Linked DNA regions of Struthio camelus. The protein of the gene in region 4 binds, or shares a complex with, the protein of the main gene of each other region. Links are inferred from orthologs where the notes say so. Each region holds a gene or a part of one and is shown on either strand. Other genes may lie near its edges.

Region 1 (7,282 bases), on a different chromosome or scaffold from region 4:
AAGTCCCAACTTCAGCACTGTGCTGGATCCTGTGACCAAGTTACTCAACCTTTTTGACAAAGTATTTATAGATGCTGACTCCTTCGTACTTATCTTTGATTTCAACTAGAAACACTAAGGGTCTCCATGTGAGGGAATAAAAAAAAAAAAAAAGTTCCATTTGTTTGTCACCAAACACTAACCTGATGGCAGTTGGCATCCAACCAGTAAGGAAACGCTGCATCACTGAGCTCTGTTTGAGTTCCACGATTGAAATTGTTCCTTTCAAAAGAAAAAGTAGTATTAACAAATATACCGAGTACTTGCTAACAAGAGAATATACTTCCACCAACAAAGGACTTCACAGATCTGATGTAGAAGGGCACATGGGTGTAGCGAAATTATGAGATAAACATGACAAAAATTGAAATCAGCTGAAGTCCAAAACTAGAAGAGGGACGTTACTGGACAGGCTGAGATGTACCAGCACAACTGCAAAGACCACAGTGACACACACACACACACACAGAGCATATCCTAAAGCATATCCAGGACGGAATGGGTGTTTCTGTCTAGACAAGGCTATTTGTTAGCGTGCAGGATAACACTAAACCGCGCTCCATAAAGATATAGATTTATGAAGACACAGCCTGTTCCCACTCCTTACCAGGTGCATCGTGAGGAGGCAGCTTAAGGACAAAGATTCCTCCCGAAGCAGAGGGTAGAGCAAAGAGAGCCTCTCCCTCACTGCTAAGCCAAGCCGCTGAGGCAACAGAATTAGATGCTAGGCCTGGCACGTTGGGAATCATGTAGTAATTTGAAGGATCTCTGAAGTTGACTTTGCCAATGTCTGTAAACACGGACTGCATTTGGCTCTCTGTTATCAGCTCCTGGAAACGGGAAACAGAGAAAGGAGTACCAATCCTCAACACACACACACAGCCACAGAAAAACACCAGTGGAACGACACTTGCAACTCTGCTACTTTATAAAAAGGATCTTTCTGGTAAGACCTCTCTGCTCACCACCACTTTTGGCTTCCCTTACGTTTAACCCATGACCATTTCTCTTTAAGAGCAGAGAGTGAAAGGATTTAAAAACCTGTAAGTTTCTAGCAGAACGCTCTCTCCCTCCCTGACATATGCTAACATCCCCAAAGGAGTCCTGCAGTCCTACTTCTATCGGCTGCTGTGAGAGAATTCATAACAAAACATTGGTAACAGGTCCCAGAAAGAAAGCAGCTCTGCAAAAGCACAGCATCACCGCTTGGAAATGCTCTTTTGAACCCTAAATGCAAGAGATTATGATTTCTCCAAGAGATACCCAGAGGTCACACCAGGATGGATACATGCAACGTAATTTTTGCATAAGATCCATCTTCCACGTGCAACAAAAAGAGATTATATACCTTACTATTTAAACAGGACAAGTTACACACCCGCCCAAGCCGTCTTTCTCTGAACTGCTCAGTTCCTACCTCCAAATACCATTTTGGCCCCTGTGTCACGATGCCTAGCCTAAGACCTGCAAAGAGCAAATACAACACCAGAACAAATACACGCGCAGCAACCATAACCAAAGGCTAGAGACAAGCAGGATGAGGAGCTTGCCAGAGTGACACCAAGCCACTCTAACACTATAAATATGGAAACACTGTAAATCTTATTCCAATGACCAGTGCCTCATCCATGCACGCAGTCTGACTAAATTCAGCTCTACAGGAAGTGAGAGATTCCTTGATTTTTCCTCCAAACTGACAGATACTTTTTCCAGCAGTTTTCAGTTCCACATAGAGATCTACCTTGCACTGATGAACAAACTTGCTGTATTTGGCCAAAAATTAGAGGACTTGTGAGTTTAGCATTTTATAACATCTAAAAAGCAGTTCAGCTAGAAAAGTTAGGAGGTCACTTGAGTAAGAAATTAAACCACTAAACTAAAGAGACGTCCCTAAACTGACACTGCAGCTCTGCGCCTCTGGAAACACCAGAGGGTTCCAGCACAGGATACAAATCTTGATCACACAGCTATGAAACAAACTAATTTACTAAGAAGAAATATTCAGACTGCCGTGGATCTGTGTGCCCAACTCCAAAAAGCACAGGAAGAGCTCTGCTTTGTATTCGTTAGCAATCTAGCATAAATGTTTCTATACCCAGTCAGCCCCTATGACCCAGGCATGACGACCGCAGTGTGGCGTCACCAGGTTTGCAGGATGCCCAGCAGCAGTGCTGGAAATACCACGACGTCCCCACCTCGATGGGAAACACCCTGAGGTCTTTGCTATCTCGCTACTCATTTAGGTGCTGTCCTGAGGGCTCCCGGCTCTGCATACTTGCAGGACGGAGCCGGGTGCCTGGCATGGCAGGAGGCCCTGGAAGCACCTGCACGCCATGCCTACGCACAGGACCTCCGGGAGAGGCAGGTGCCGGTACTCACGCTGCGGTACATGCGGGCAGGGTGCGGCAGGAGCAGGCGGTGCACGGTCTGGGCAGTGGCGAGAAGGATGACGAGGTGGCTCTGCACTTCGCACACGTGCACGCCGCCCGGCAGCAGCGGGCAGCCCTGGATGCGGAGCCGCACGGCGTTGTTGAGCAGGTTGATGTCCAGCGACTCCTCCACCAGCTCCACCTCGTCCCCCGACGTGGTCCTGCGGGCAGAGCAGGGAGGGTATGGGGAGAGGCGCGGGGGCCCAGCTGGCGGCACTGGAGAGGCCCAGGCCCAGGCCGCAGGGCGAGGGCAGAGGCCGAGGCCGCCGGAGCCGGGGGGGGGGAGGGCGGGCCCGGCCTCACTCACCAGCGTATGAAGCGGTTCCTGGTGACGGCGGCGAGCTGGGCGCTCTCCTGGTAGCAAAACCCGCCGGCGCTGTCGCCGTAACGGCCGGCGGGGGCCGGGACGGTGCCCGGCGGGCTGAACACCACCTCCCGCACCCGCCGCGGCGGGCCCCGCGCCGCCCCGCTCAGCTCCAGGCAGCTCCGCTCCGCCAGCGCCGCCGCCATCTTCCGCTGCCGCCGCCGCCGCCGCCTCCTGCCTTCCCGCCCGCCCGCCGCGCGGGGCATCACGGGAAAGCGGCGCCGCGGGGCACCACGGGAAGCGGGCAGAACGGGGTGGGGGTGGGGGGAAGCAGGGGCCGAGGCAGGGGGAGAGGGGCTGGGAAATGGGGAAGGGGGTCTGGGAGAGGGGCTGAGGGAGAGGGCTGGGTTAAGGGACCTGGGGGAGAGGGGCTGGGAGATGGGGGCTGGGGAGAGGGGCCAGGAGAGAGGGGCTGGGTTATGGGGCCTGGGGAAGGGGGCCAGGGGAGAGGGGCTGGGGAGAGGGGTGGGTTATGGGGCTTGGGGGAGAGGGGCTGGGAGATGGGGGCCAGAGGAGAGGGGCTGGGGAGAGGGGTGGGTTATGGGGCCTGGGGAAGGGGGCCAGGGGAGAGGGGCTGGGTTATGGGGCCTGGGAGGAGGGGGCTGGGGAGAGGGGGCCAGAGGAGAGGGGCTGGGTTATGGGGCCTGGGAGGAGGGGGCCAGGGGAGAGGGGCTGGGGAGAGGGGTGGGTTATGGGGCCTGGGAGAAGGGGGCCAGGGGAGAGGGGCTGGGGCCTGGGGCAGAGGGGCGAGCGCAGGGGGGAGAGGTGTTGGGATATGGGGTTTGGGGAAGGGGGCCAGGAGGAGGGGGACCGTAGCCGGGGAGAGGGGTTTGGAGCCTGGGGGAGAGGAGCCGGGACCCACAAGATGGGGACGCGCCCCGGCGTAGGGCTGGGCGGGAGAAGGCACGGGGACGCGCGCGCCGAAACGCCCCGTACGCCCCTCGCGCATCCGGCTGCGCGGCGCCGCTGCGGCAAGCGCCGTTTGGTTTGCTGCGGGGTTCGGGGTCGAGTCGCGCGCCCTCCTCTTGCCGAGCCTCGCCGGGCAAATCGCCCAAGCTCCGCCGCTGCGCCGCGCGGGCAGGAGGCCCGCGTTAGCTTGCAAATCGTCCGCTGCTAATAACAGATGCAAAAAAAAAAAAAAAAAAAAAAACCCAAAAACCCCCAAAAACGTTTTCGGCGGGCGGGGCGAGCGCGTAGCCTTCATCGCGCGCCCCGGCCTCGTCCGCGCGGGAGATAAGGCGCGACCCTTCGCGCTCCCGCTTTGTCGAGGGCCGCTCGAGTTTCAGGTAGAAGCAAATCGCTCGTCCCTGGGCGGCGCTCGGCTTGTCCCGCTCCCCACGAAAGCTTTAAACCCGCCCGGGGGTGGGGGGGGGGGTCTGAGTTGGATCCCCCCCCCTCCCCTCCCCGCCACCCCTATAACACCAGGCTGAGCGGGAGCTGAGCTCAAGGGCAAAGGGACGGCTGTGACCTTCGGGAGGTTGGGGGCGGGACAGGTGGGGGGGGAGCAGGCATGATACCACGGTGATGGGCGCCACGAGGAAAAGCACTTTTGCTTTTGCGAAAAAAAAAAAAACAAAACCAAAAATGCGCTTTTGCTCGAGCCGGGAAAGGTGGGTGAGCGCCCCCCCCCACCACCACCACCACACTCCCAACACCTCCCCGGGGGAGCTGGCACTGGGGGGGGGGGGTCAGAGGGAGCACGAGGCCCTGAACAATCCTGCCTTTGAGCGGGGAAGGCGAGAGCGCGGCGCCCGGCGGCACAAAGCCCTCTGTCTGCCCGCCGGCAGAATGGCCCCATTCTAGCGGTGGCAGGTGCCGCGGGGCTGCTCGGTTGGGCACCTCGCCCCCTCCGGGTCCCCCCCACCCCCCGCCCGGGGGGCTTTCGACTTGGCCCCCTTCCCGGGATGGAGCTTCCTCCTCGTCACCCCCCCCGCCGTCATGCTCTGGGTAGCGGCAAGGGCTGTCGCAGCACCCACCTCTGGCCCCGGGGGACGTGCCCGCGCCGGTGGCGGCTCTGGTGGGGCACCCCGCATGGACGGGGATCTTGGCTGGGTGGCCGTGTCCCCCGGGGCGGGGACCCCGTCTGGGTGGCCGTGTCCCCTGGGGAAGGGACCCCAGTGAGGTGCCTGTGTCCCCTGGGGAAGGGACCCCAGTGAGGTTCCCACGTCCCCTGGGGAAGGGACCCCAGGGAGGTGCCCATGTCCCCTGGGAAGGGACCCCGTCTGGGTGCCTGTGTCCCCTGGGGAAGGGACCCCATCTGGGTGCCCGTGTCCCTGGGGAAGGGACCCCAGTGAGGTGCCCGTGTCCCCTAGAGAAGGGACCCCAGTGAGGTGCCCGTGTCCCCTGGGGAAGGGACCCCAGTGAGGTGCCCATGTGCCCCGGGGAAAGGACCCCATCTGGGTGCCCATGTCCCTGGGGTGGGGACCCCAGTGAGGTGCCCACAGCTCGGGGCAGGGACCCTGTTCGGGTGCCCACGTCCCCCAGGGGAAGGGACCCCAGTGAAGTGCCCACGTCCCCTGGGGAAGGGACCCCAGGGAGGTGCCACATCCCCTGGGGTGGGGGTCCTGTGTGGGTGCCCACGTCCCCTGGGGCGGGCAGGGACCCCGGTGGGACGCCCGAGCCCCTAGAGGCACCCCCGCGGAGACGGCCGTGGGTCCCCCCTAGGGACACGGCCAGGGTGCCCCAGCCCGGGTGGGTGCCGGCACCGCTTCCCCCCCCCCCACCCTCGCTCCCCACGGGACCGTGTCCGGGACACCATAACCGCGACAGCGCCGTGTCCGGTACCGGGGCGAGGTCGGAGCGGCCCGGGCGGGGCGGTCACAGTCTCCGCCTCCCGCGGCTCGTTCGTCCGCCGCTTCCTGCGGGCACGGGCACGGCCCGGGCGGCGGCGGCGGCGGCGGCGGCGGCGCGGGGTGAGTGCGGCGCGGGCGCGCGCGCGCGCGGGGCGGGGGGCGCGCGGGCGCGCGCGCGCCCCGAGGGGGGCGGCGGTGTTGGCGGCGGCGGCGGCGGGCTGCCCCGCGGCGTGGCCGTGGGTCGCGGCGGGGCCGGCGAGGGGTGCGCCGCCCCCCCCACCCCCACCCCCTCTGCTCGTCCCGACGGTGCTGCGGTGGGACGGGTCGTTCCCACCCCCACCCCACTCCGCGCCCCCCACGTCCACGCGGCGGGATTAAGCGGCTTGGGCGGCCCCCGCGCGGGGTGGTGGTGGGGGGGTGCAGCTCGGCTCGACGGAGCCGGCCGGGTGCCTAACGTGGGGGTGACCCCTCGCCACCCCCCCCCCCAAACCACCACCACCTCTGCTTCCGCCCCCCCCCCCCCCCCCCCCCCACGTCCGGGACGCCTCGGCCCTGGGACCGGCCGGCCGTCGTGGCTCTGCCAGGGCGGCCGGGGTTGGGGGGGGGACGGGGCCGAAACGCCTGCTGAGCGGCGATCCCCCCCCCTCCCAGCCACCCCACAACGCCCCGTCTTATGGGGCTGCTCCGGCGGGATCTCCGTCCTCCGGCCCCCAGCTCGCCGCCGCCTCCCTTCCCGCTCCCGACCCACGGACAGGCGTCGAAGGCGGGAAGCGCCCGACGCGCCTCGCCGCGGGACGGGGCCGATCCCCCCCCCGCCCCGGCCGCCCCCGTCTGCCGGTGACGTCGGCCCGGCTCCCTAAATCCCCCCCCAGGTCGGCGCCTTGAGCCGATTAGGCCGGACGGCGACCCGCCGGCGGCCTTCTCCTTCGTCTTCCTCCCGCCCAGACGGCACCCACCGCCCCCCCCCCCCAAAATAGGGGAACGGACCCCCCCCCCCTTTCCCCAACCTCCCGGTAGGGCCCGAAACGCCGGGGAGGAGCCGAGGCGAACCGGCCTGACCGGTTGGCGGCCCGGCACCCTCGAGGCCTCTGCCCGGCGGCGGCGCCCGCCTGCCCGCGCTCCTCCTCCTCCTCCTCCTCCTCCTCCTCGGGCCGCTCGGGGGTAAGAGGGAAGGGAGCCCCGAAAGGCGGAGGTGGAGAGAGGGGGGAGAGCGCGAGGTCACCCTCGGGTCTGGCCTCCGAGCGCCTCGGGCCTCGCCACGGCCCGGCCGGGGTCCGGGGCCTGGAGAGGGGTGGGATCCTCTTCATCCCCCCCCCCACCACCACCCCCCTTTCCTCCCCAAACGTCTGGGGGCCTGACGTGCGGCGCCCCGCGTCTCCCCGCAGGCCGGGCCGGCGGCCCCCGAGATGCCGACATGCCGGCGGCCACCCGGCCGCGGCGCCTGGCTCTGAACCCCGGCCGCCGGCTTGGCCATGGAGGAGGCGGCCGGAGACGGGTTGGAGGAGCGGGCCGGCGGGCCGGGCAACAGGAACAACAACAACGCGTCGCCGGCCAGCTGGCGGGCACCCCGCGGCGGGCGCCCGGCGGCACCCCGCGGCGCCCGTCCCGGCTACCTGGAGCGGGTGGTGCTGGAGATCGTGGAGTCGGAGCGCACCTAC
Region 2 (7,835 bases), on a different chromosome or scaffold from region 4:
AACCACTTCTAGAAAAGACTCCAGTCTGCTGAAATTTTTGAACACATTTTTAAATGTCTTGAGGATAAGTGCTTTGTGTACAAAGCTTAAGAGGTTTATACTTCCGCTACTTCAATAGAAACAGAACGTTGTCCATACTGAAGCAAGAACAACTGAAGAATGCAGGCAGGCCTACTTATATTCAAATGAGTAGGAGGAGAAATGTTCTTTACTCATAAACATGCCTCTTAGAGTGATTAGTTTACTTTGGTCCTTCAAAAAGATATGGTTCTACTTAAAGCTCTGGATGATAACATACATAATTCATATTTTATCCAAATTAACGCAGTAATTTTCCAAATTCAGTGCTATACTTATGTATTGCTGCTTACTGATTGTAAAGTTAGTTTATGCTTACAGTGCACACAAAGTTTGTGACTGTTTTTATTTCCACCCTAATCTGAAATTGGTATTTGTCAATATCTCGAGTGTCTGAGCTTTCTGTGGAAAAAGTTATGTTTATGCCCTGAAATATAAAAGTATTATTTAAGTGAATTGCACTCTTTCCCATTAGGACTTCTTCCTTTCAGTGCAAATTTATTATCCCTTACATTGGTATTAATGCTATTCTTCATTCTCAAATTATTCTGTAAAACGAATGTCTACTTGCTTATCTTAAAGTAATACTTAAGACTTTTCAAGATGTTTTCAGATGCCCAAATGAATGGCACTGTAAACTCAAACTACTACTATTCTCTGCAGAAGAGAACATAAGAGAACTTGTGGAAAAGTACTGTAGAGTTAGATACTAAGTTTGTTTCATAATATGTACTGTGATATTGTGATGCTAGAAGGGGGAGGTGGGAGGAGAATATTGCTGAAGTTTTGATTAAAGCTGTGCATTTCTCTCTGGTTCTGGTGTAATTAGAGTTGCTGTTTTCTCATGGGTGAAGACCAGAGATGAGGATTTTCTTCTTTTTAAAAAGCGAAATGAATTGTGGATGAACCAAGTCATGGATTTTTCTAAAATTTTCTAATCCTTGCCAATTTGGGGGGTTAATTTAAGGAGGGGGAGAAATTCTGCCACAATAGTGAACTCATTCTAGATAAGCTTCAGTTTAAACTTATCAACAAGAGAAAGTTATTCCTTGACCTAAATTGTCAAAAGTGGTGCAGCTATCTGTAACTCTTCTTAATTTTTGAATTGTAATACAAAGATGCAGCTAAGCATCAGTGTAGACAAGAAGCTTTGTAAACTTCCATGGTAAAGCTGCTACCCCAGCAGCATCAAGCTGTACTTCAGTCCATAACTATTTTTATTTAGCCTGTGTATGGGCAGGAGAATAAAAAATAAAGCAAAAGTTGTTCAAATATGTAACAAAGTACAACTGTGTGTGGTTCTCTAAGGCAACATTAGACAAGCAGAACTCATAATTGAATTAAGGTCTTATTTCTCAGTCTCGAGCACCCTATGCTTTCATTTTTTGAGAGTTTTTGAACAACTTGATTCTTAAAACCTAATTTAACTTCTGTTATATAAAGCCAAACTCTGGAATGGTACTTGACTTCCATTTTTTTCTTTATATTCTCAGTCTGGAAATATAAGCAAAGTTATGTTTTGTATTCTTATTTTGTTCTCAGTGTTGACATTTGGGCCTCAAACATACTTTCAGAGTTCAAAAAAGGAAGGGTAAAGCAAACATCTTCAGAATTTTGAATCATCAAGCAGAGGGTGAATGGAGAGAAGAATGTCTTCATAATTCCACTGTATGCAATAAAATAAAACACTTTAATCAGTACTGAATCACTTTAGCCTCAAGAAATATTAGTCATTTCTAACAGTTCTACAGCTTTGATGTTTCAAGAAAGTTCACTGACACAGTTTTTCCTTCAGGATTGTGGCTGGGGTAGACTACTCAACTGAAAGAAATTGTAATTCATGAAATTTTTTTCCCCCTCTCCTACCATAAACCTTCGGAATGTTTTCTCCAATCTTGGATTCAAACTGCAGTTATAGTGGAAATTCTAGTTCCTCCTTTGGTTGGTGTACTTTATCTTTCAATAATATGTGTTGTTTTCTTTTTTTTTTTCCTTCTAGATCTAGCAGGGAGGATTTAGTAACTTCAGTCACATCCTGAGTATAAAAATCTGCATCTGAAATCCTAACTCTCCTAAGTGGGACTCACTGCCTGTGAGGTGCCAAATACAGCAAAGTCCCTTGGCACTGCTATCATGATTTTCAGACACAAGTAAAATGACACCTACTTGTCTATTCTTCTTGCCTTTTTAATAGTTTTATTCATCTGAGCTCCATCCATAAGAGTAGGCACAGGAGTCAAAATCCATTTAGGAGTCCCTCAGGCAGCTGTCATTTGAGAGTCAACATTGGCATTTTAATACAAGCAAGTATATGCCCACTTTCAACCTTGAGAGTGGAAAAAAAAATGTTTATGCTTTAAAAAAAAATTGTGAAGAATTAGGCACTTCCAGGAACGTTTGAACTAGGAGAAGATGGGCTAAAACATGAGATTTCTTTCATTCTCATAACAAGAAACAAGACATAATGTAAGTAGCATGGGGTTTTTTTTGTACTTAAGAAAGCTCAGCTAATGTACTCTTGCTGCTGTCATACTTAACTCATAACTATCAAAAGCAATAGCATAAGAAACTGTGTTAAGAATGTTGAATTTTGGATATGCAAGTATCGTGTATGCAGTTTCACAGTACACTGAGGTAATTTATTTTGATGAAGTGACTATATAGAAACATGCATTGTAAAGGGTAATTTGAGTTTTAAGTTAGTCTACTTTACTCTAACTTAGTGTATCCAGTAAACACTAACTTTTTTTATAAAGCTAGTAGTCTAATACCCTTATAGTGTTGGGACAGAGAGGACTTTTGGGTGATAAACCTGCTATGATTCTGTGTTAGCAGTGCTTGCTGCTGAGTTTTTTTCACTAGTCCTGCCTGTAACTGTGGAGCATTACCAGTCCTCTTGATATCCTGACAACATGGGTGCTGTTAGGATCGGTGTTGATGTAAATATGTAAAACACAAGATGGATTTATAAACTTTAGTATTATAAATTTGGGGTGTTCTGTATATTTCAGGCTAAAGACACACGTTATATGTAACAATGGACTGGTAAATTCATATTCCCTTCTGTTCCTTGGGAGTGTGAGATGCTTGCATGAGAGACTGTTTTGGTTTATTTTCACCCTATCTTTTTTCTTTTCCTCCTACACTAGTCAAAAAACACCTCCCCCGAAACACACTTCAGACTGGGGGAGAGGGCGTATTATTCTTTCTGGAGCCAAGTTGAAGATTAAGGCGGTTCCCCTAGCCTGTATTTAAAGAAGCCGTATACTAAGACAAGTTCTCTCAAGGCCTCCAAATCTTTTCTTTTACTTTTGTGGGTTTTTTTAAGAAAAAAAAAAAAAGTCCCCTTCAGCCTGAGTCTTGCTGCTTTTGCTTTGTTCTCATCTCTTAGGTTCTGCATTGCTTTACTACTTTTATGTATCGCCTCAGGTTCGCTCATTCTCTCTTGTCCCTTCTGCCTTGAGAAAGGGCTAGCGTGGGAGTTTGAGCTGGTGGCAATGCAGAAAATTGAACCAGGTTTGAGTTTGTGCACTGCTCTGCTTGAGTCTCCTACTGCAGTATGGAGATAGTAATGCTACGCTGTCTTGTGAAGAGCTCTTGAGAACCAAAATGTACTGAATGTGTAGCAGTATCAAACTGGGATAATAGTTCCTTAATATTCTGTAGCAAAGGTTGTTGCCTGACATGATAGTCTACATGATACAACTTCAGTCAGTCTTGCCTTTTTTTTTTTTTCCCCCCTCTCCATCCAAAACTCCAGTTTCTGGGTGAGTCATCTGCTCTCTAAGGGTCTTCATGCTGCCTCTGTTCCTGGACAGCCGCTCTTCGTCCGGACTGCCAGCTTTTCCTCTTCTTGTGGAGCCTCTTTAGGTTAGGCTCTCCAGCAGCTTCAGGGGAAACCAAGACTGGATGTCCAGCAGGGGCTGTCTGCCCAGTCCTGCTGCCTTTTGCAGCTCTTGTTTTCAGATGCATTGCTCACTAGTCGCTGTCTGAGGAGTTTAAATGCCTGATCAATTTCTTGAAAATGCCTTGTAATTGTAGCTCTGCGTGCAGCTGAGCGCTTGCAAAGGTTTTTCAGTGCTTGCCTGGCTATTTTAACAGCATTGTTTTGAGTAGTTTTCCTTGTACTAGAGCACACTTGAATGAACTGCTGCCAGCACCATCCAGGTATTTGTATTGCTATAGCACGGAAAATTCTGGCCTTCATGAAGTTTGTGAGCCAGCCCTTGAGGAGGGAGGGGAGAGGCGGTTATGGACAACTCACCTCATAGCTTGGTTAACTTGCCCACGGCGGTAAGGTTTGAATAATCCCTGAGGGTACCTATTTCTTTGCCCCTTAAAGCTGGCCGGTCTGGAGAGGAAGGGGAAGGGGAGCAGCCACCCCTTTGGCCTAAGATAACGCAAAGAGCGGGAGGCAAACGCCGCTAGCTAAGGTGGTAAGAAAAACACGTTATTTTACGAACGTCCCGTTAGTCTATGTGTACGGAATGAGATAACTTAAATAGCGTTTAAAAGGTTGAAAGTTTTTTTTTTCTCCTCGCTTTCTCCAGGATCCCACAGCTCGCAGAGCTACCGGCAAGGCAGCCTTACGGCAGCTACGGGGACACCTCTGGGACCGGCGAGGCTCCCTCGGTCCCGTCCCGTCCGGTCCAGCCCGCCAACGGCCGCCGCGCACGTCCCGCCGCTAGCACATCCACTGCTCCACCCCTCCCCGTGGGGGCGCGCATGCGCAGTTCCCCCCCCCCGCCCGGCGCATGCGCAGGCGGCCGGCGTCGCTCCACTGGGGCGGAACTACCGCTTTTACCTTCCGGGCCGGGCCGGCGGGAACGCTCGAGTCGGCTCGCGCCAGCGGCCGTTATGGAGAGGTGGGTGGCGGCGCCGCGGTACCGGCCGCTGCCCCGTGGGGAGGCGGGAGCGCGAAGGCCGCCCGAAATGGAGGCGGCGCGTGGCCTGAAGCGGGGCTGCCGCGGCCACGCGCGGCTGCGGCGGCGAGGACGCGGCCTTTCTTTCTCGCCCGTGTCTGGCGGCGCCGCTGTGGCGGCGTGTCCTCCCCGCCGGGCGTCGTCTGCGCAGGGTGAGGGACTGCGGCGCTGGAGCTGCGAGTCGCGCTCGCGAGAAGCCCACGCAGGAGCGGGGACGCAGCCGCGCCCACTCGGGGTCCGGGTAGTAAGACAACAACAGGAATGGCTTGTCCCGCCCAGAAACTTAATTTACGGAGTAAAAAAAAAAAAAAAATCTAGACAAATTTGGAAATTTTTTTTTTAAAGGCTACAAAAGCAGTCTGCGCTTAAGTAGTATTTCATAACCCCTTATAATATCGAGGAACGTGTTCTGTTGTGCACTAGAGCAGGTGGACGTGATTTGTTCACGTAGAGGAGGAAATACATGAGGAAGGGTTTTAACGTAGCAGAGTAGATACGTTGGAAACGCGTTTTCCATCTAACTGCAGCTAGAGGAATATACTTATTACCTGGTGGAACAGCTTTTTAGGGATGTAGAATATTTTTATATCGCTTGACAGTTTTAAAAGCAGCTATTCTTTTCTGTAGTATACTTTTAGTTTAAACTGGAATTGTTATTTAGGCGAACACTACTTAGTGGGGCCTTTGCAAGGTGTTCTTCAGAAAGGTCTGCTTAGACAGCTGCAGCTGTGCTCTTCAAAAACCACTCATCACATCTTTTCATTCGCATTTTAATTATTGTTGCCAAAATTCTTCCCATTCTGTAATGCATGTGGACTTTCTCAATCTGTGATGATTTGGTGCATCTGAAGAAAAAAAAACCTGATGAAATCATCTTATTCTTTCAGTTTAAATTTTGAATTTCACACTGTCGTGATTTTTCTTGCTTTTTTATTTTTATTTAAAGAAAGGATCTATTGTCATGTAAGAGGAACAACATATGGATTTTCAGAAAAGCCAATCTACTTTTCCTGAGCTGATGAGCAATACTAAATGTTCTGTATGAGAAACTGGATAGCTATACTAAAATTAGCAATGACTTAGCATGGCTTTGTTTTCAATTTCTCAGTTGTGGAGTTGCACAAAAAAGAAAGTCTTAATCCATCCTTAAAAACGGAATAATCTGAAGCAACTTTTTTTTCCTAATGTCTCAGAGTTAATAGCGGAATAGTATTAGGCTACGTTTATGTAAGATTTGGATAAAGAGTTACAGTGCTTTGTGCCCATTGCACAACGTTTTTGGGACTAAAGGATTAATTGATTTGTATCCTTAGTTGTTTCTTTCTCCAGCAGAATAAGAAACAATAAAGTTGTGGAGGGGAGGGAGGTGTTTTGGTGGTTTTTTTTTGTAAAGGTTGCTACTGGCTAAGTGTAGACCTTCCAATTCAAAGGTCTGTTTTTGAAACGTGTCATTACCTTGTCAACTGGGATTTTGAGTCAAGCTATGGAGTTACTAGTGTTTGAAAGGAAGGATTAGCCAGAAGAGAGTAACATCATAATAATAATATTATGTTTTGTTGGAACAGTTTGCTTACTTTGTGTTTCTATTGCTGTTTTATAGAAATGATTTTGGAGACATGTCATCCCCCTGTGATACCGAGATGGCCAGACCTTGTCGAAAACAAAGTTCCCAGAAAAGAGTTTCTAGTATCCTTTTTCTGTATAGTTTTTTTTAATCTTCTGTTTAGTCTTTGCTTGCTATGTTCACAGTGCACAAGTATATTGACACATGCAGCTGATCTTTGACTGTATTTGCAGTGATTATTTAGATTGTGGGCTAGATATGGGTGCATGTGCATTACCTTCCTTCTAAACCTGTGCTGGCACATTTAGGTATCCCAGTATTTTACTGTTTTCATAGGCTTATGAACTCAGGTTGACCTCAGCCTAGAGATCTACGTGAGCCATAGCTGACTCCATCCTTGAGCTTTCTTCACTCCATTATATCTTAATTTTATGTTCTTATGCTCTTTAACCTGTGTTTTGTTTTATCTGAGTATTTTGTTTGTTCAGTGTGTCTTAGCTTCCCACCCACAGTATTATCAAGAGAAGTGCACGTGCATAGATATAAACTTCTACAGAACTTCTTTTAACTTACTTACGATAGCAAAAAATATTATACGATTTGGCAGCTAGTGTAATTATATTTTTCTGATTATGATAGCAAAGGAATCCAGTACATTTCATCCTTCTGTTTTTTGTAAAAAGAATAAAACTGGCAAGGTATTGGCTGTGATTATTGTTGTCCTTCAGAATCATGACGTTCTTAGACACTGACATAACTTAGGGCGCTGGAGCTCTTGCACTACTGCTTGTTAGTAAACCGTGCTTAGAACATTGAAGTTAGTTAACTGAGAGGAAGAGGCAAAGTAGAGCAAGAGAGATGTTTTTGTGGAAGTCATCAGTGTCCTGGAAAAGAAAGCAGGATAGCTTTTTTTGTTTTTTTTTTTTTAATGTATACAGTCTCAGATTTGCTGATCATGAGTTATATTGGATACAGCAGCCCCTTACAAGGGGAGATAATTCTCCTTGATCCAAGCAGTTAGTGAGAAGCAAGGTGTCCTAGACCTGTCGTGCTCTTGTTTCTGAACTTTGCTTTGGGGTGTCTCCAGCCCTCCAGCTTTTAAATTTCTGGTGAAGTATTTCATGGCTTATTTGAGCTTATTAAATGAGACTTTCTGCTTTAGCCCTGCTAAACTTGAAGGAAAAGGTGTATGTTCCTTATAATGTTTTAGCTACAACAAAGATTGTTTCTTTCCAAGAATTCACAGTCATTCTGGGTAGAGGTGAAAGAGT
Region 3 (7,812 bases), on a different chromosome or scaffold from region 4:
AGCCGCTCTTTCCACTCCTACCTGTGTAATTTTCCTTGACTTACCATCCAAAGAGTGTTCCAATCAGTGTATCCTGCCTGCTTTCTCTGCATTTAATTACGCATGTTATTGTTTTTGTATTTATTAAAGCTACCAGTAGGCAAGAAGCACCTATGGCTAGAGAACACTACAGGATTCTGTGGAAATTCTCCTTGCACGGTCTGGCAGCGTACCAGTCTCCTACAACCTCCCTTCACCTTTTATTTTAGCTTTCATGAGCAATGGGCAATACCATTTCTACCTCCTAAAGTCCATTATCACCACCGGGAAGCAGGACTATACAAGAGAAGAAAGAAATATAGCATCTTAAAACCCCCTCTAACTCTTCTCCTTTGTACACAGCTTGTTTAAGCAAGACTCAAAATTTACTGGGCACGCTACAGAACAAAGGAAAAGTGCCGTTTCCCAAAGGATCTTAAATTCTATTTATAGAAATGATGCAACAACCAGAGGAGCAACCGCTGCGAGGAAGGGTGCCACAAGGCGGATGTTGCTTGATGGTCTCATTCTTCTGCACTCTCCCCACTTCTTCCACCTCCCTTTTCAAAGACCTGTGCGCTGCAGGTCCAGGAGGATTTCTTTGGGAGTGGCTTTGAGGAGGCAGGGTGAAACTGGTCAAGGCCTGCCTGAGAGCAGCATGAAAGAACTGAACACAGGAACGACATTAAGTTGAACATACGTTAAGGCCAGTACCAGAATAGAACAAATCTGATTCAAAGGAGACGTGAAAATAAGCTAGATTTCATGAAAACATATGGGATTTCACTACCTCTGCAGAAATTATACACGCTCAAAAAAAAAAAAAAAGATAAGCTAAAACCTGTTTCAGCTATACCACCATAGTGTGCCTTGCCACTAATCACACAGATTCCCAGTCACAGAGCAGGTTTTTTTACAAACCTCATATTTAGATGGGTTTTCTTTCCACATAGCAACAGGGGAAACTCGCATTATACAGGTGATCCAGTTCAGCTAAGAATAAACAGAGTGATAAAAAAATGCAAAGATAACAGGCTAGACAGCAGCACTCGGAGCAAGCGGCAGGGGAGAAGCCACACTGTGAACTACAAAGGACCGAGTCCTGCAAGGTCCAGGCCACAGCAGAGGGGGGCAAAGGCAAAGCTCTTTGTCTCTCAGAGCTCCTCCTCTTTAAGGCACAGAGTTGAAAAGAAGTGAATGGGGAAGCATCACAGGGAGAATTCCAGAGAAATTCCATCTCCAGGAAGAAAATTCCACGTGCCGTTTCATAAATGTTTCCATGTCTGGTTTTATTTTTGTACAGCAGATTGATAAGGAAGAAATACAATGTATCTAGATCTTGCAGAACACTTGGGCTTAATTCTCCACCTTCTGTTGAAGAAACCTGAGTAGGGAACATGGGTGTTCAACACATACGTCCCCTTTGACGCTGAGATTTTAAGACATTAAGATTTTTCGGATATTAACATAGCTGCAAGCAGAGGGTTTGTGCTGCTTCACATCAGCAAGCATAAGACTACAAAAGCAATTCCAGTTCATTCAAAACTGTGTATTACTTAGCAATTAATTTAGTGCAAGAATAGAAAAAAAAAAGGTTATTTGAAGGCATGAGTAACAAAGTAGGACTAAATCTGCTTTCTCAACCTGAACTCTTAAGTCTGAGTGGCCTATTCAGGCCTTCCTCTTCCTTAACGCTAATTTAGCCCCCGGAATAGAACATATATTTTGCCTGTTCTGTGCTTTCGATGTTCATGTCGATCTTTCTCTCCCTGCCCCAACTCAAAAAATAGCTTTTGAACCTTCTGTTTTCCAACTTAACTCTCCTCCTTCTCAGGCACTGTTTTTTTTTTTTTTTTTTTGCTTTCTTCCTCCACACCCTCCCCCCAGAAAATGCAAGGCAATTTTTTTTTTTTTTGCTTTTGCCTTCCTTGGCTGGACTGATGGCCTGCACTCTAAAACTCTGAAGTCTTTCTGAGCCATATGAAGTTTGATGCTGACATAGTGGTTCCCAGTTCTGCTTAACTGCATGAACTTGACAGGCAGAGGCCATTTTGATAAGGCGCAGATGAAAGGCTCCCTTCTAGATACATGTGGACCTCCAGCCAGCATTAAAAGGAGGGCTTGGAGTTTTCAAGATTTCATACTAAAACTCACCATTCCCAAGCTGACATCCCCAAAAATCAACCACCTTCCTTATCAGTTCAAGAGCATTAGAGGCTGTAGACATGAAAAAATATTTTAATTTTTAGCTAGCGAGCGAAGCAGACTGTATGTGCCAACTGAGGTTTTACAGAATGTAGCAGAGGACCAAAGAGCTACTCTGTACCAGCTTTTAGTGTCTCTTTGCACAGGATGGGATTCTGGAGCAGAATAGGACACTATCTCACTTCTAGATCTTCCACCCCCTTGTCATCAACACCTCTCTCCCCATGCTGATGAAGAGAAAAATAAAGACCATTGAGACCGATGGGCACTCCCTAGGGTTGTCAGGCAAGGTAAGCTATAGTTGGTAATGGCTGACCGCCCACTTCTCTGGCTCCCTCTCTCTGTGGATAAGGCTGTGGTTCCCCACAGAACGGTCCACAGAGATATGTGTTTAGAAAAGGATACAAGGGAAACAAGAAAACGGACACAGCACAGTCACTGAATGAACACAGGGATGCCCCGTGTACTGAAGCGCCCCTAGGAAAGCCGCAGATTCTACTGTCATAGTTGATACCTGGTTGATACTCAAACAAACTAATGTGGAGACAACTCCTTAGCTTCACTACAGGAAAAACAAATAGCAACTCCCATCCTTCCTGCAAAGATCTCACTTGTTAGGCAAGCCTCAGATTTCAAGTAAAAAGAGAGAGCCAACTCTACAGTATTCTTTGTAATTCATTAGCGGCTTTTAATTACGATGCCCATAGAAGCAGTGGGCTCTTCGCTTTTCTCCTGCGCGCTGGCTGGTAACATAAGCAATATGAAATCTTCAAACAGTCACTAGAAAAGACGCAGTTATAGAAGCAGAACCCTATCCTTGAAGGATGGTGACAGAAGAGCACTTATAGCTGAACTCTCAAACATCCGGTTTTTGATTTGTATCAGCAGTCATTTTAGTAACACCTTGAAGGATATTTTGGATCTAGATTATTCCAACGCTAATATTCTCAAGAGTCTTCAGCACAGAGCAGTACCATTTTGTAAGACAGCAGGCAAACTTGACTATGTACAAGCAGCGATTCAAACACACGTACATCCCTAAATTCTGCCAAAATATAATAATCTTACCGAGAATAAAGGAAGAGCTTTCTTAAAACTGATGTGTCTTAGAGTCTCGAGCAGGTTTTTGAAGATTTCAGTTCTTCTACCCGACAACAGGCCATTCCTCCCTCCTGACTGACCTGAAGAGACACCGCTTCCTGTTGGCAGCAGGATCAGTGTGGCAACATGCTCCTACCAAAGATAACTGCTAGCTTTATTTTTATTGGAAATGATGGATGCAGGTGCTGATAAAGTAAGAAAAAAAGGCAATTTAGCAGTAGGGTGTTGCAGTATTTGTCATACGAGGACAGTGAATGATTAAAGCTATCTTGAAAAATTAATTCTCAGTGAGCTTCCTTGGGAAGCATTAAGCCCCAGCATTAAAGGGGCTAGCTTCTTCCAGCTATGAGTTTAGCAAGGTAGCATCATTAAAGATTTTTCTTAAAAAGAATATCACTGAACAAGTTTGCTTCTTAGAGGGGGAGGCAGAAAGTGAGGATTATGCCGAGACAGGGAAGGGGAGCAGAATGGAAGGAAAGAAACAGCACATGGCTAATGATTCCCACAGCAAGTTCTTCAGGTATACTCAAGTTCAACTCCACCGGCACTTGAGCCCCCAGAGCTAGCAGGGGGTTGATCACACTAAACTCCAGCAGTCTCAGCAGGCAAACCGTGCCCAGTCTCTAGGGGGGATTAACTCCCAGGCACAGCAGGGGAAAAATAAAAAAAAATTTGTGACCCCAGGTATGGGAATGAGGCACAGAGGCAAGGCGGGAATCCTTCTCCGCCTGCCAGCACTGCCCCTCCACCCACTACGATCGATCTAACGCTTCACTACCAGCCCTTCTCTAACCTGCTGGGCCCAGCCGAAGGAGCAAGGCACAGAAATCCGATTAGTCGGCTGTATCGGAGCGCTTGCCGGAGAGCTCCTGCGACTCCGCTCCGGGGAGCCTCACCCGCAGCGATCTGCAGGCTCATCTGTCTGCAAGTGTTTGAAGCGCGTAAAGAAATAACAGAAACCGATTATCACGAGGCACGGGGATAGCTTCCTTCCGCCCCCCCCACCGTGAAATACGGCGGGCAGGTACGAGGTTCGGGGAAAACCTACCCACAGCAGCACGGGGAGGGCGGCGAAAAGGCGCAGCAAGCCCCTGAGCGGGGCGGGGGGGAAGCTCACCCCGGTGCGCTGCCTTAGGCCCCTTCTGCCTCTGCGCTACTGCGCTGGGGCCAGTTTCAGTCATCGCTGCCGGGACAGGCAGTGGCCGCCCGGGCGGCGCGGTGGCCCCCCGCCAGGAGGGCGACTCCCCCCACCCCGGCCCGGCCCGCACCGCCCCGCTCCCGCCCGCGGGGCCTTTGGAGCTCGGCCGCGCTTCCGGGGCGAGCGGCCAGCGCCTGCCCCAAACCGGCGGAGACCGGCCGGGCTCCCTCCCCCCGGCGGCGGCGGCGGCGGCCGGCGCCTCGCCGGGGCGGGCAGCGCTGACGGGAGGCGCGGCGGCGGGAAGGAGGCGGGAAGGAGGCGGGCGGGCGGGCGGGCGGGCGCAGGCAGCGGCGCGGGCAGCCGCGGCGGGGCCCTGCGCGCCGGGCGGGAGGCGAGAGCGGCCGCCGCCATGGAGGAGCCGGACGCGGAGCCGCCGCTGATGGTGCGGGCGGGCGGGCGCGGGGCCGGGGGAGGGCCGGGCCGGGCCGGGCTGGGCCGGGCGGCGAGCGCCTCTCACGCAGCGGCTGTGCCCTCGCAGGTGGTGCCGGGCGTGGACTCCGCCGCCAGGCAGCTGTGCTTCGAGTGGGGCCCCGCGGAGATGCTGGTGTGCGAGACGCTCTTCGGCGGCAGAGGTGGGTGCCGGCGCGCGGCCGTTGGCGTCGGCGAGGCCGGGCGGGCGGGCGGGCGGCACCGCCGGTTCCTCCCCGGGGCTGCGCGGAGGCCCGGCCGCCGCCAGCGGCTGCCGAGCCCGGGGCGGGGCGCGGCGCTGCCCGGGGGCCGGCGCGACCCGCTGGCGGCGGCCCCCCGGCTCTGACCGGACGCCGGCAGGAGCCGTGGAGGGGCGGCCGAGCTCCTCCAGCGTCTTCGTCGTCCGCAAGGACCAAGACATCTACGTACAGACCTTGCGCAAGCTCTTCAACGAGTCGCACGGCATCTTCATCGGCCTCCAGAGGAGCGAGGAAGAATTCGCCGGGAAATCCAGGAAAACACAGTGAGTGGAGCGTGGTTTCGAAGTGCTGAGAACAAAGGTCGTCCTCGTTCTTTCGTCTGCCTCCAGGGACGATCAACCTGCACTACTTAGAGCCGCTGTCAATCAGCGATAACAGTGCAGTATAAACAGCTGTTGGGGGACAATTTTACACAGCGTGGCCCTGAGGCTCTGCTGCGCAAGGCCTTTACCTGTGCGTAGCGTGTATATAGTCAGCGCCTCCCGCCTTGCCACCTTCCACCAGCTTTGCCCAAGTAGAGGAAGAATCTACTCGCGCAAAAAAACCCTGCAGACAAAAGAAAACTTTAGCAGACAACAGCCAAAGACCTAAAACTCAAACAGCTCTTCCTAAACGTGGTCTTTTTATGCTTGGCAGATTGGTTCAAGTGAGTAAAAACTACCGCTCGGTCATAAGAGCCTGTATGGAGGACATGCACCAGGCAGCTGGTAAGTTTGCTTGTTTGTTTTCCTACTGTGATAAAAAGAAATGCTATCTGTGAGTGTAAAAATAACAATGCAACTGTAAGTTGTACTGCTTTACTGAGATTTTTTGCACTATGTTTTAATTGATCGGGGGGGGGAATTTGCTTCCTTTTCATCTCTCTGGTTGCAGTTTTATGGGAAACGGGCCAAATTAGCAGCTTGCTGCCAAAAAAGTGAGAAATGTTACTCCTCCCTTTCATCCTTGTCCTGTAAATATATCAGATTTGTGGGAAAAAAATTACAAAGAGATGTAAAAGGTTATCCTTTGTCAGGCATGTACTCATCTAAGGCTATGATTGGTGAGTGACCAGGACTGTTTATCAGTAAAGGGTGGTGAAAGAAGGTAAATGCGTTGTTTTGTGACCTTCCTTATTTTTCCCTCAGTTTCAGCTCGGGACCCTGCCCTGCACAGCCAGTATAGTACTCAGGTAATCCGCAGTCATGTCTGCACAGTCACAACTGAAGAGGAACCGTTGGCTAGCAAAGTCGTCAAGGCCGACACTGTTGCAGTAATGCGTTTTAGTTGCAGCTCTGGCTTAGTGTATTGAATACAGTACGTGAGCAAGAATACATGGGTATAAATAGTTAGCACCTGTATTTCTAAAACAGTAAAAAGATGCCCAACATTGGGATATACTGCCATTTCTTAAATGTGTATTCAGCCTTACAGGTGTGATGTTTTCTTGCCATCTAAGAAATCCAGCTGTGGGCCAGTACTCACCTGGCTGAAACCTCACTTCTCAAATGCTGAAGTTCCCAACAACTATGTTTGAGCCTTGTAGCAAGCTCTGGAAGTACACAGTGGACTTTCAGACTCTAGAATAATGTTGTGGGAAGAACAGCGCTCACAGAAGCATTGTCCTATTAGCAGCACTGATGTTGCTTAATTGGCCTTTCTTTGCAATCTCAAATGCAAACGTAAATTATTTTTATAAAACAAAAATGAATGCTGTTTGTAACGTTAAATCTTAGGAGCGCAAAGAGGCTGAAAATAACAGTTCCTCTGCTATTTTAATCTCCCACTAATGACAGATTATTATTGTGTTTGAATACACAAACCGCTGCAGTATTTTCTAAGGTGAATGTGAATAGAGAAGTTGTGGCCTGCTTCTGTCTTTTAATTTAGATTTCTAAAATATAAGTAGCGTGTTTCTCTTGTCTCTAAGAACCAAGCTGAATTGAGCAATTGCTATGGGCAGTAAATGCCTTTGTGCAGTTGAAAAAAAAGAACACTATTGTAATAATTACTAAGTCTGAAACGCGTCCCTGCTTTTTTCAGGTTTCTATTCTTTCTGCGATGGAGCTGATCTGGAACTTGTGTGAGATCCTGTTTGTTGAAGCAGCTGTAGGTGAGCAGTGAACTACCCTTGATGTTAAAATTGAAGGGCTTTTTGTTTGCCTATTCATTTGTTTAAAAAGTGTATAGCATCCATTGTATCATATCTTAATATCTTTTTGGAAATATTAATGACAAGTATCAATAAGCTCTTTAATACCTTTTCTGCTTTGGCAAATTGTCTTCTACATCTTGAATTATGGCAAACTGTTAGATTTGTCTTCTATTTTTTTCCCCTCACACCTAATAAACTATGAATTGGCTTTTTTTGCAAAAATATAATGGAGAACAGTGATAACAACATTTGTTGTCACTTTATTTGACTTTTAAGCATAAACACATTTTTAAGTATCAGCTGTGTAAGGTGATATCAGGTAACACACATTCTCTGGTCCAACTCCTTTAACTTTAGGATGTTGTCTTTGAATTCAGTTTGCTTATATCAGCACTTTAAAGAAGGAAATGATCAGAGTATGCAAACATATGCTATCTACTCAGTTCCTGAATTCAGATGAGAGGTTCACAAATGTAGATTATTAATGT
Region 4 (7,074 bases):
CAATTCTCTCCCTTTTTTGGGAAGAGCTAGTTGCCAGGTAGCTGGGAAGAGGGATTTGTTGGGCACTTCCACTGTGTGAACTGGGAGTCTTTGACAGGTGATGGTGAGGAACACGTTTATGAGAATTTGCTGGAAGGTGGAAGTGAAATAGATGGGGTGAGGAGAATCTGACTGGGTAGGAAAGGGATTGCCTGCATGCATGTATGGAATTGTTTTAGGAGACTGAGGGGAGAACTGTCGAGATGGTAAATGTAAGCTCCTTGAATTTGAATGGGAGTGTTAAGCTTTGAAAGCCTGGAAGAACTTCTGATGCCAACTTTAACGCATAGCTGTGGTGCTTGAGCTTAGTATTAAAAGCTGCTCTGCTGCACAAAGGATTTTGAAGCTAGTAGGTGCTATCACCATGAGCAGCAAGGATACGTAGGAAGGAGGGCAGCTTCCAGCTCTGTGCCTGAGTTACGTGCTGCTTGAAGTGGCTTGCATAGTACTGCTTAACACTGCAGTTACATTCCAGTAAGTAGTCTGTGGAAATCTTCTGTGCTATCAATTAAAAATCCAATAATATGTGTTGGCCCATTAGGAATGCTGACTGATTGCTCTAGAGTATCTATGCTGAATTTTGGCCGTTGAGAGTTTGATCCATAATGCGCGAACTGTGTAATGTGGGGCCCAAGTAGCTATGTAATTTCACTTAGTCTGACAGTGACAGCACCACTGCATATGAACCTCAATACAGTCTCAGTCCATAGCCACCACACTCACACAATTTACACTCGCTAACAAACTTTCAGCTGTTTTACAATTACCAACATATTAGCTGGCTTACACAAAGGCTTGAACGCATCATAGGGGTGTCTGCTATCAGTTCCACAAATATGTGATTGCAGTGGGAGCTTTCCTTAAAAAACAAACAAAAAAACTTAGAAGCAACTTTTTCAACACCACCATGTCTCACTGCTTCTGGTTCTTTGTTTTGTCTCCATTTTATCCATATGAAAGTTTTTTTTCTTCAAGCTTAATGAAAGTGTTTTGTAAGACTATCCAGGAATACTTTCATAAACTTTTTTCATTGTACCTAGTTGCAGTAGACAGTGCCTTTACTCAAGATTTGCTGGTTTCTTCTGGAACAGTGGTTTTAACGTTTCCTATCCCTGCTCTGAAAAGAATGGCTTTAGTACAGTGGTATGAGGGGTTACTGATCCTACAGTTGTGAGCAGGGAAAAAGAAACAGGACAAAAAGGGTAAAGAGTTACTTAAGCCATTACTGTTTCTTTTTGCAGGATGCTCTTGGACCAACAGCTTCTTTCTAGCACTACCTCAAAGTAAACTTGCAGATCTAACTCACAGGGAAGATTCATCAAATGCTGATGATCCCTCTCATTCCGCTGGATTTTTTTTTTTGTTTTGCCTTTGCCTTTTGTTTTGGCTCATTTTAAACGATGCTTATTCAACTCCAGTGACTCATGTTAATAGACATTGTTCATTTGAGTACACCTGCAAGCATTTCTGAATAAGTGTCATTAAGTGCATGTCACTATATAGAAATTGTTCTAAATAAGTAAAATGTAAGTAAAGTAAGTAGCATATGAATTTACAGAGAAAAGTTGCAGTGTAGCTGCCTTGGATGCTCATCTGGAAGAGGAAACCTTGTTTCAGGTTCTCTTAATATACTTAGCATACATGAGAAAGAGAATCTTATTTTAAAATGGAGCATCTCTTAAGAGTGTCCACTGTAGGAGTAACTTTAGTCAAATCTTTGTGCAGATAGGCTTTTAGAAGTCGGCATTACTACTGATAAATGACCGTTATTAAAAGGCACAATTTTTATCCCTTTGTGAAGCTTGTTCTTCCCGTAATGAAAGTCTGTCCTGATACCCTTCTCCTAGCAGAAGCGCAATTTAGCGCAGTAATTGATTCCTTGGCGAAAACAATGAAAAATTCAGGCTAACATGTTACCTTCTTTGTATTTTGTTGATGATACTGATGTAGATCTCTTTTGATTATTTTGCTATAAACTTTTTTTTGACCTGTATGTTGTGGAAATAGAGCCTTGCAGTAGAATTGGTCTGCAAATGTAATCCACTAGCAGCTTACAAGAGATCAGGTGGTTCTTACAGGTGCCTTCTAAATCCATGTGTTCCTTGTCCTGGCTGGCATAAAGCATCCTACTGGACACACAACTGTAGTTATACTGGTAGGGGAGGAGAGGAAGAGACCAGAGTTCTGCAGGTCCGGTTTATGGGGAGAAATACCTAGAAAGTAATTCCACTCCACTGGGATTTCAGAAGTGTCATCTGATCTGGATGACCATGAAGGCAGGACTAAGGACTAATAAGTGGACTGAGAGCTGGCAAAGCCAGAGAGTTGGGAAGATACCAGCAAGGTTGAAAAGTTCCAATATGAAGCAAGAAGCAAAGACTTTACGGTGCAAAAATCCCAAGTAAGATTCCTCCTAAAAGCAAGGACTGCTGCCACTGGGTTGCTTTTCTTGAGGCCTTCAGAACTACCCTTACTGGTGGGAGTTCTCCTAAACCCTTGAGTTTGATAAGGTTTTTCTTAAGGTGTTTGCTGTGATGACTGCTTTTATTTTTTGGTGGAGATGGGTGAAAGGGGTTGTGAAATACTGTATTATGGGTCTGTCTTTCATTGTTGAGTATCTGTGATAGACTCAGTGACCACAGTCTCTGTTCTACATCACTGCACGAGAAAAACTTTTTTATTGCCTTCTGTGTTGCGTTTTGGGTGATGAAACATTTTCATTGACTTTTACATTGAGTGGTTGAGAGTCGCTGCTCAGCTCCATTGTTAACAGAGTGGGCCAAATAAGTGCACCATCAGTGCACCGAATAAGGCATAGAGCCATAGATCTTTCTCAATTTTTAACTTTTCATAGCATAAAGTTTCATAAGAAACTAAAATATTTTACATGTTTCCAACGTGTAATGAAAACCCATCTTGTCTTGAGGTAGAGAAAGCTAGGTTGAAGCTTATCTTTTTTCACGTGGTTCCTGTTAGCCAAAAATGAATGACATTAAACCTGGAGATTGCTGTTTTTCTTGCTTACACGCAGTTTGTAGTGGGGTCCTGAAGTCACACCGCCTTCCCTCCTCCCCTCCTGTTTTTCAAGCTCGCTTTCCACCTTCTCCACGCGTCCCTTCGCCTGCTCGCTGGGACTAACGGAGGGAAGCCTCCGCGCCGGCCCCGGCGAGCCTCCCCCTGCGCGAGGGCCGGAGCCCGCGGGGGAGCGCGTCGCTCCGCGGCCCGCGGGCCCTGCCCGGCCCAGCGCGAACCTGGCGCCTGAAACTCCGAAGCTCTCGGCCTCGCTCATCTGCAGTTGGGGGGATTTTCACGCCCTTCGCGGGTGCCGGCGCAGGCAGCCCCCGCGCTCCGCAGGAGGACGGGCGCCGCCGGGGCGCCCGGCTCCGCGCGTCCTCCTCCTCCTCCTCCTCTCCCGCTGCCGGCCCCGCCCCGCCGCGGACTACGTTTCCCGAGAGCGCCCGGGGCGGGGAGCGAGCGAGGGCTGCCGGGCCGTCCCGCTCGCGTGACGCAGGCCGCGCGGCGCGGGCCAGTGACGGGCGGGCGCCGTGTGGTTGGTCGGCCGGAGGGGGGAGGGGTGCAGGGGCTCGGCGGCGGCGGCGCGAGCGGGCGGGCGGGCAGGACGGGGCCGGCCGGCGCCCGAGCGCGGAGCAGGCAAAGGGCGCGCGCGCGCGAGCGGGCGGGGGGAAGCGGAGCGCAGAGGAGCGAGCGCGCGCGGCGGGGGTGGGGGGAAGGGAAGGGGGCAGTGAGAGCGCGCGCGCGTGAGGGAGAGAGAGAGCGCGCGGGGGGGGGGGCGGCGCGGCGCGGCGGGGAGGGGCAGGCCGCGGAGCCCCCGCGCAGGCCGCGCGGCGCGTGGCGGGCGGCAGCCGCCAGCAGGCCGAGCCGGGCGCGTCTCTAGAGAGACGGTGACAGCACAGAGGGGCGGGGGGGGGGGGAGAGGGCGGCCGGGCCGCGCCGAGCCGCGCCGCGGGGGAGGGCGGCCGGGCGGGGGGAGTGGGGTGGGTGGGGGGGGAGGGGAGGAGCGGGGCCGCACGAGGCGGCGGGGGCCGGGCCCGCTGCGCGCGGCGCGGCCGGGGCAGCAGGGGGGCAGGATCCCAACATGGCCTCGGGCGGCGGCGGCGGCGGCAAGATCCGGACCCGGCGGTACCACCTGGGCGCCGCGAAGCCGCCTTACGCCAGGAGTAAGCAGGTGAGGCGCGGCGCGGCGGCGGGCGGCGGCGGCGGCCTGGGGAGGGCGGCCCCGTCGGGCCGGGCCGGGCCGGGCCGGGCCGGGGTTTCCCGGTGGAGCGGGCAGGGGAGGGCAGGGGAGGGGTTTCCCGCCGGGGCAGCGGCATTGTGGGATTTCCGGGCGGGCGGGCGGGCGGCAGCGGCCGCCGCCGGGCCCGCGGGGCGCCGCGTGTGCGCAGCGCCGCGCTGCCCCTTTTGTTTGCCTTCCCTCCGTCGCTCGCTCGTTGCCCCCCGCTGGCTCGGCCGGGTGGAGGGAGGAGATGCCTCGGCTCGGCAGGAAATAGAGGCGGGAGGCGGCCGGTGCCGCCGCGGTGGCCGGGGAGGGGCGGCCGCCCCTCTTCGCCCCGCCGTGGCGGGAGCGGGCTGGCCCCTGTCCTCGGCGACCCTCTTTTTGTCTTCGCGCTCTCTGATCGCCCTCGGAGAGACACCAGGAGGAATGGTTTGGGGTCGCCGTCTGGCAAACGCGGCTCTGCAGAGGAGCCCCCTTCTAGTTAAACTGAGGGATGTAAGTGCGTCTCTTCCAGTGTTTGCCCTGTGCACAAGTTCCAGCCCATCTTGCAAATCAGTTTGTGAGGGAAGCTATAGTTATTCATCTTCAGGTTTGGTTTTTGGGAGGACCCTCAGTTCTGCATCTGGTAATTTCTTCAGTCTCTTGCCTGTCTCTCTTGCCTGTGCTTAAATGTGCTGATGCAGCGCAAGTTAAATGTAATTCATGAGGCATTTGTTCTCCTTTTTATTGCAGGATAGAGTAGATGGATAACAAAAGCTAGTTTGTACACTGCACCACGAAAATCCCACACCAGTTAGTGGCTGGAGAGGGAGATGCAGAAATGCTTCCTGATTTCTATTTGCTAAGAATTTTCAAGAGGCCCGGAAACACTGCTCTGGATATGCCTTCGCATGTGTATGTGAACCTGAAGTGGGCTCTTCAGCCAAAACCTTTGCATTATTAAATCAGTAACTTAGTAACTTATCAGTAGCTACAGGAATGAGTATTATATCGAAAACTGAGGGAGCATTATGCGTGAATTGTTACTCATTTTTTTCTTATTTTGAGGAGTACTATATTTTTTTGAGGTTTATATGTAGTATACTGATAAGCAAGGTTGTCCCTATAAAGCTAGGATAGAGACACTGAATACAAAAGAATCACTACACGTGCAGAGCAAATGTTGAACGTTTCACGCGAATGACGGAATATTACTGAAAGTGCCATGTCTTGCATGTGTTCATACTGTGTAGATAAACCTGGCACATTAATCTGAAGTAATTACAGACTAGATGGTTTTCTAACTCTTCTGTTGTCTGTTATCTTTGTGCATTTTCTAGTAGGTTTATTTAAATAGTGTGCCAAAGCAAACACATGATTAGGGATATCTGTGGGATTCTACTCAGAGGGTTGGATGCTGCAACTTGAATACATAAATCAGATTAACAGTGAAGCATTGGAGAGAGAGTTATTGTAATGATTTAATAAATTGGCAAACTGAGAGAAGTTAGGTATGTGCATTTATTGTCATGAATAGCTTTTTAACCACGTGCGGCTTGTTAACTTACATAAGAAGATGAGCGTCTGGGTAAATAGCTAACCTAAGTTGTAGTGATTGACAAGCGTTCTTGTTTTCAGTACAATGTCTGCTCTGCAGAAGTATTCTGTGATTTAATACTAATTGTCTCTCTGTAGTGAGTTTCGGAAGACATGAAAGTGTTCAGTGCAACTTTGACATGATGCTGTACCTCTAGTCCTGACCCTCATCCCGCTGCTTTTATCAGCAAATAGAATCATAGCCTGTGGAAATTTGTTGACAGACCTTTTTTAGGTGCTTGTGGTCAAAATTAGAGTCCTGAAAACCCTCAGTCTCTTATCATCAAACTCTGAAATTATCTGAAGGTTGTAGGCAGTATAGCTAGTAGCTTTAAAGTTCCCGGGATATCTGATTTTTTTTTTTTTTTCCACTCGTATGAGGGATGGTTGCCATGATGCCTAGGCATCATGGTGTCTGCTTTCTGGTTGTTGTTCTTTTGCCATAATCTCTTGAGGAGTTTGATCAGGTGGTAATTCTCTGGTCATACGTAACATGTACTGCAAAATCAGTCTTCTGTAAAATACGGTGACAGCTTTAGAAGACAGTTGGAAGAGGAGGTGCTGCTTGCTGCTATATAACAACTAGCAGTTAAAGCATTTGTTCAGAATGTGGTAGACCCTGCTTTAGTTTCCTTTTTTGCCTTGAGGGATCAACCTACATCATCTACTTTCCAGGCAAATATCCTAGTTGCCAAGCTGTATGTTGTCTTTCGTTCTTTTGACTGAAGCTGGTTTACTATCCAGAAAAAGAATGCATGATTCATTGAGGCAGAAAGAGGGTATGTGAGAAAATGTTGCCCTCTGGCCTGCTGATTGGGGTGCTTCTTCAAGAACGGGGAGACATGTAGGCTTTGTTCCTTGTTCTCAGAACTTACTTGTTTTATGTTAGATAGTTCATGGAGCAGAGATGCCAAGCCTGGTGTTTCCTGCTCCTTCTTCCCAAATGCCCTGACCATTAAGCTTTAGAGCCATGCATCCTTATGTTTTTGTTTGTTTGTTTTTGTTTTTTAATCTAGTACTACCTTTTAAGAATCAGCCTCAAGTAGGACAGGTGAAAAGATGCTGTCTGCAAGATATGACTATGACTTGTAGCGTTTGTATTTTTTCTGGGAAATGGAGATATGGATTCAAATCCACTCCATTAATGATGGGAACTGAACCATGATATTTCTTACATAGAAGAGGGACTGTGAATACTATCTATAGATCTATTACTAAAAGAAAAA

What was found.
Region 1: NUP153 (region 4) and NUP160 share a complex: the UniProt entries of both Homo sapiens proteins name them as parts of the nuclear pore complex. The link is inferred for Struthio camelus from reciprocal best matches to the Homo sapiens genes NUP153 and NUP160.
Region 2: NUP153 (region 4) and NUP107 share a complex: the UniProt entries of both Homo sapiens proteins name them as parts of the nuclear pore complex. The link is inferred for Struthio camelus from reciprocal best matches to the Homo sapiens genes NUP153 and NUP107.
Region 3: NUP153 (region 4) and NUP85 share a complex: the UniProt entries of both Homo sapiens proteins name them as parts of the nuclear pore complex. The link is inferred for Struthio camelus from reciprocal best matches to the Homo sapiens genes NUP153 and NUP85.

Annotation. Positions count from the first base shown.
Region 1 is NC_090946.1:5,690,224-5,697,505, forward strand, and holds the start of NUP160 (nuclear pore complex protein Nup160), read right to left. Parts: upstream 3,012-7,282; 5' UTR 2,979-3,011; coding exon 2,776-2,978; intron 2,630-2,775; coding exon 2,419-2,629; intron 870-2,418; coding exon 647-869; intron 262-646; coding exon 183-261; intron 1-182. Other genes in the region: PLEKHG3 (pleckstrin homology domain-containing family G member 3), read left to right, coding at 7,097-7,282. UniProt on the Homo sapiens protein: Functions as a component of the nuclear pore complex (NPC). Involved in poly(A)+ RNA transport.
Region 2 is NC_090942.1:40,445,312-40,453,146, forward strand, and holds the start of NUP107 (nuclear pore complex protein Nup107), read left to right. Parts: upstream 1-4,822; 5' UTR 4,823-4,935; coding exon 4,936-4,943; intron 4,944-6,600; coding exon 6,601-6,686; intron 6,687-7,835. UniProt on the Homo sapiens protein: Plays a role in the nuclear pore complex (NPC) assembly and/or maintenance. Required for the assembly of peripheral proteins into the NPC. May anchor NUP62 to the NPC. Involved in nephrogenesis.
Region 3 is NC_090960.1:8,208,601-8,216,412, forward strand, and holds the start of NUP85 (nuclear pore complex protein Nup85), read left to right. Parts: upstream 1-4,800; 5' UTR 4,801-4,871; coding exon 4,872-4,904; intron 4,905-5,000; coding exon 5,001-5,094; intron 5,095-5,290; coding exon 5,291-5,453; intron 5,454-5,826; coding exon 5,827-5,897; intron 5,898-6,317; coding exon 6,318-6,361; intron 6,362-7,212; coding exon 7,213-7,282; intron 7,283-7,812. Other genes in the region: uncharacterized protein, read right to left, coding at 487-685, 940-1,011, 3,292-3,404, 4,373-4,505. UniProt on the Homo sapiens protein: Essential component of the nuclear pore complex (NPC) that seems to be required for NPC assembly and maintenance. As part of the NPC Nup107-160 subcomplex plays a role in RNA export and in tethering NUP96/Nup98 and NUP153 to the nucleus.
Region 4 is NC_090943.1:99,955,743-99,962,816, reverse strand, and holds the start of NUP153 (nuclear pore complex protein Nup153), read left to right. Parts: upstream 1-4,070; 5' UTR 4,071-4,135; coding exon 4,136-4,225; intron 4,226-4,408; exon of another isoform or gene 4,409-4,699; coding exon of another isoform or gene 4,700-4,768; intron 4,769-7,074. UniProt on the Homo sapiens protein: Component of the nuclear pore complex (NPC), a complex required for the trafficking across the nuclear envelope. Functions as a scaffolding element in the nuclear phase of the NPC essential for normal nucleocytoplasmic transport of proteins and mRNAs.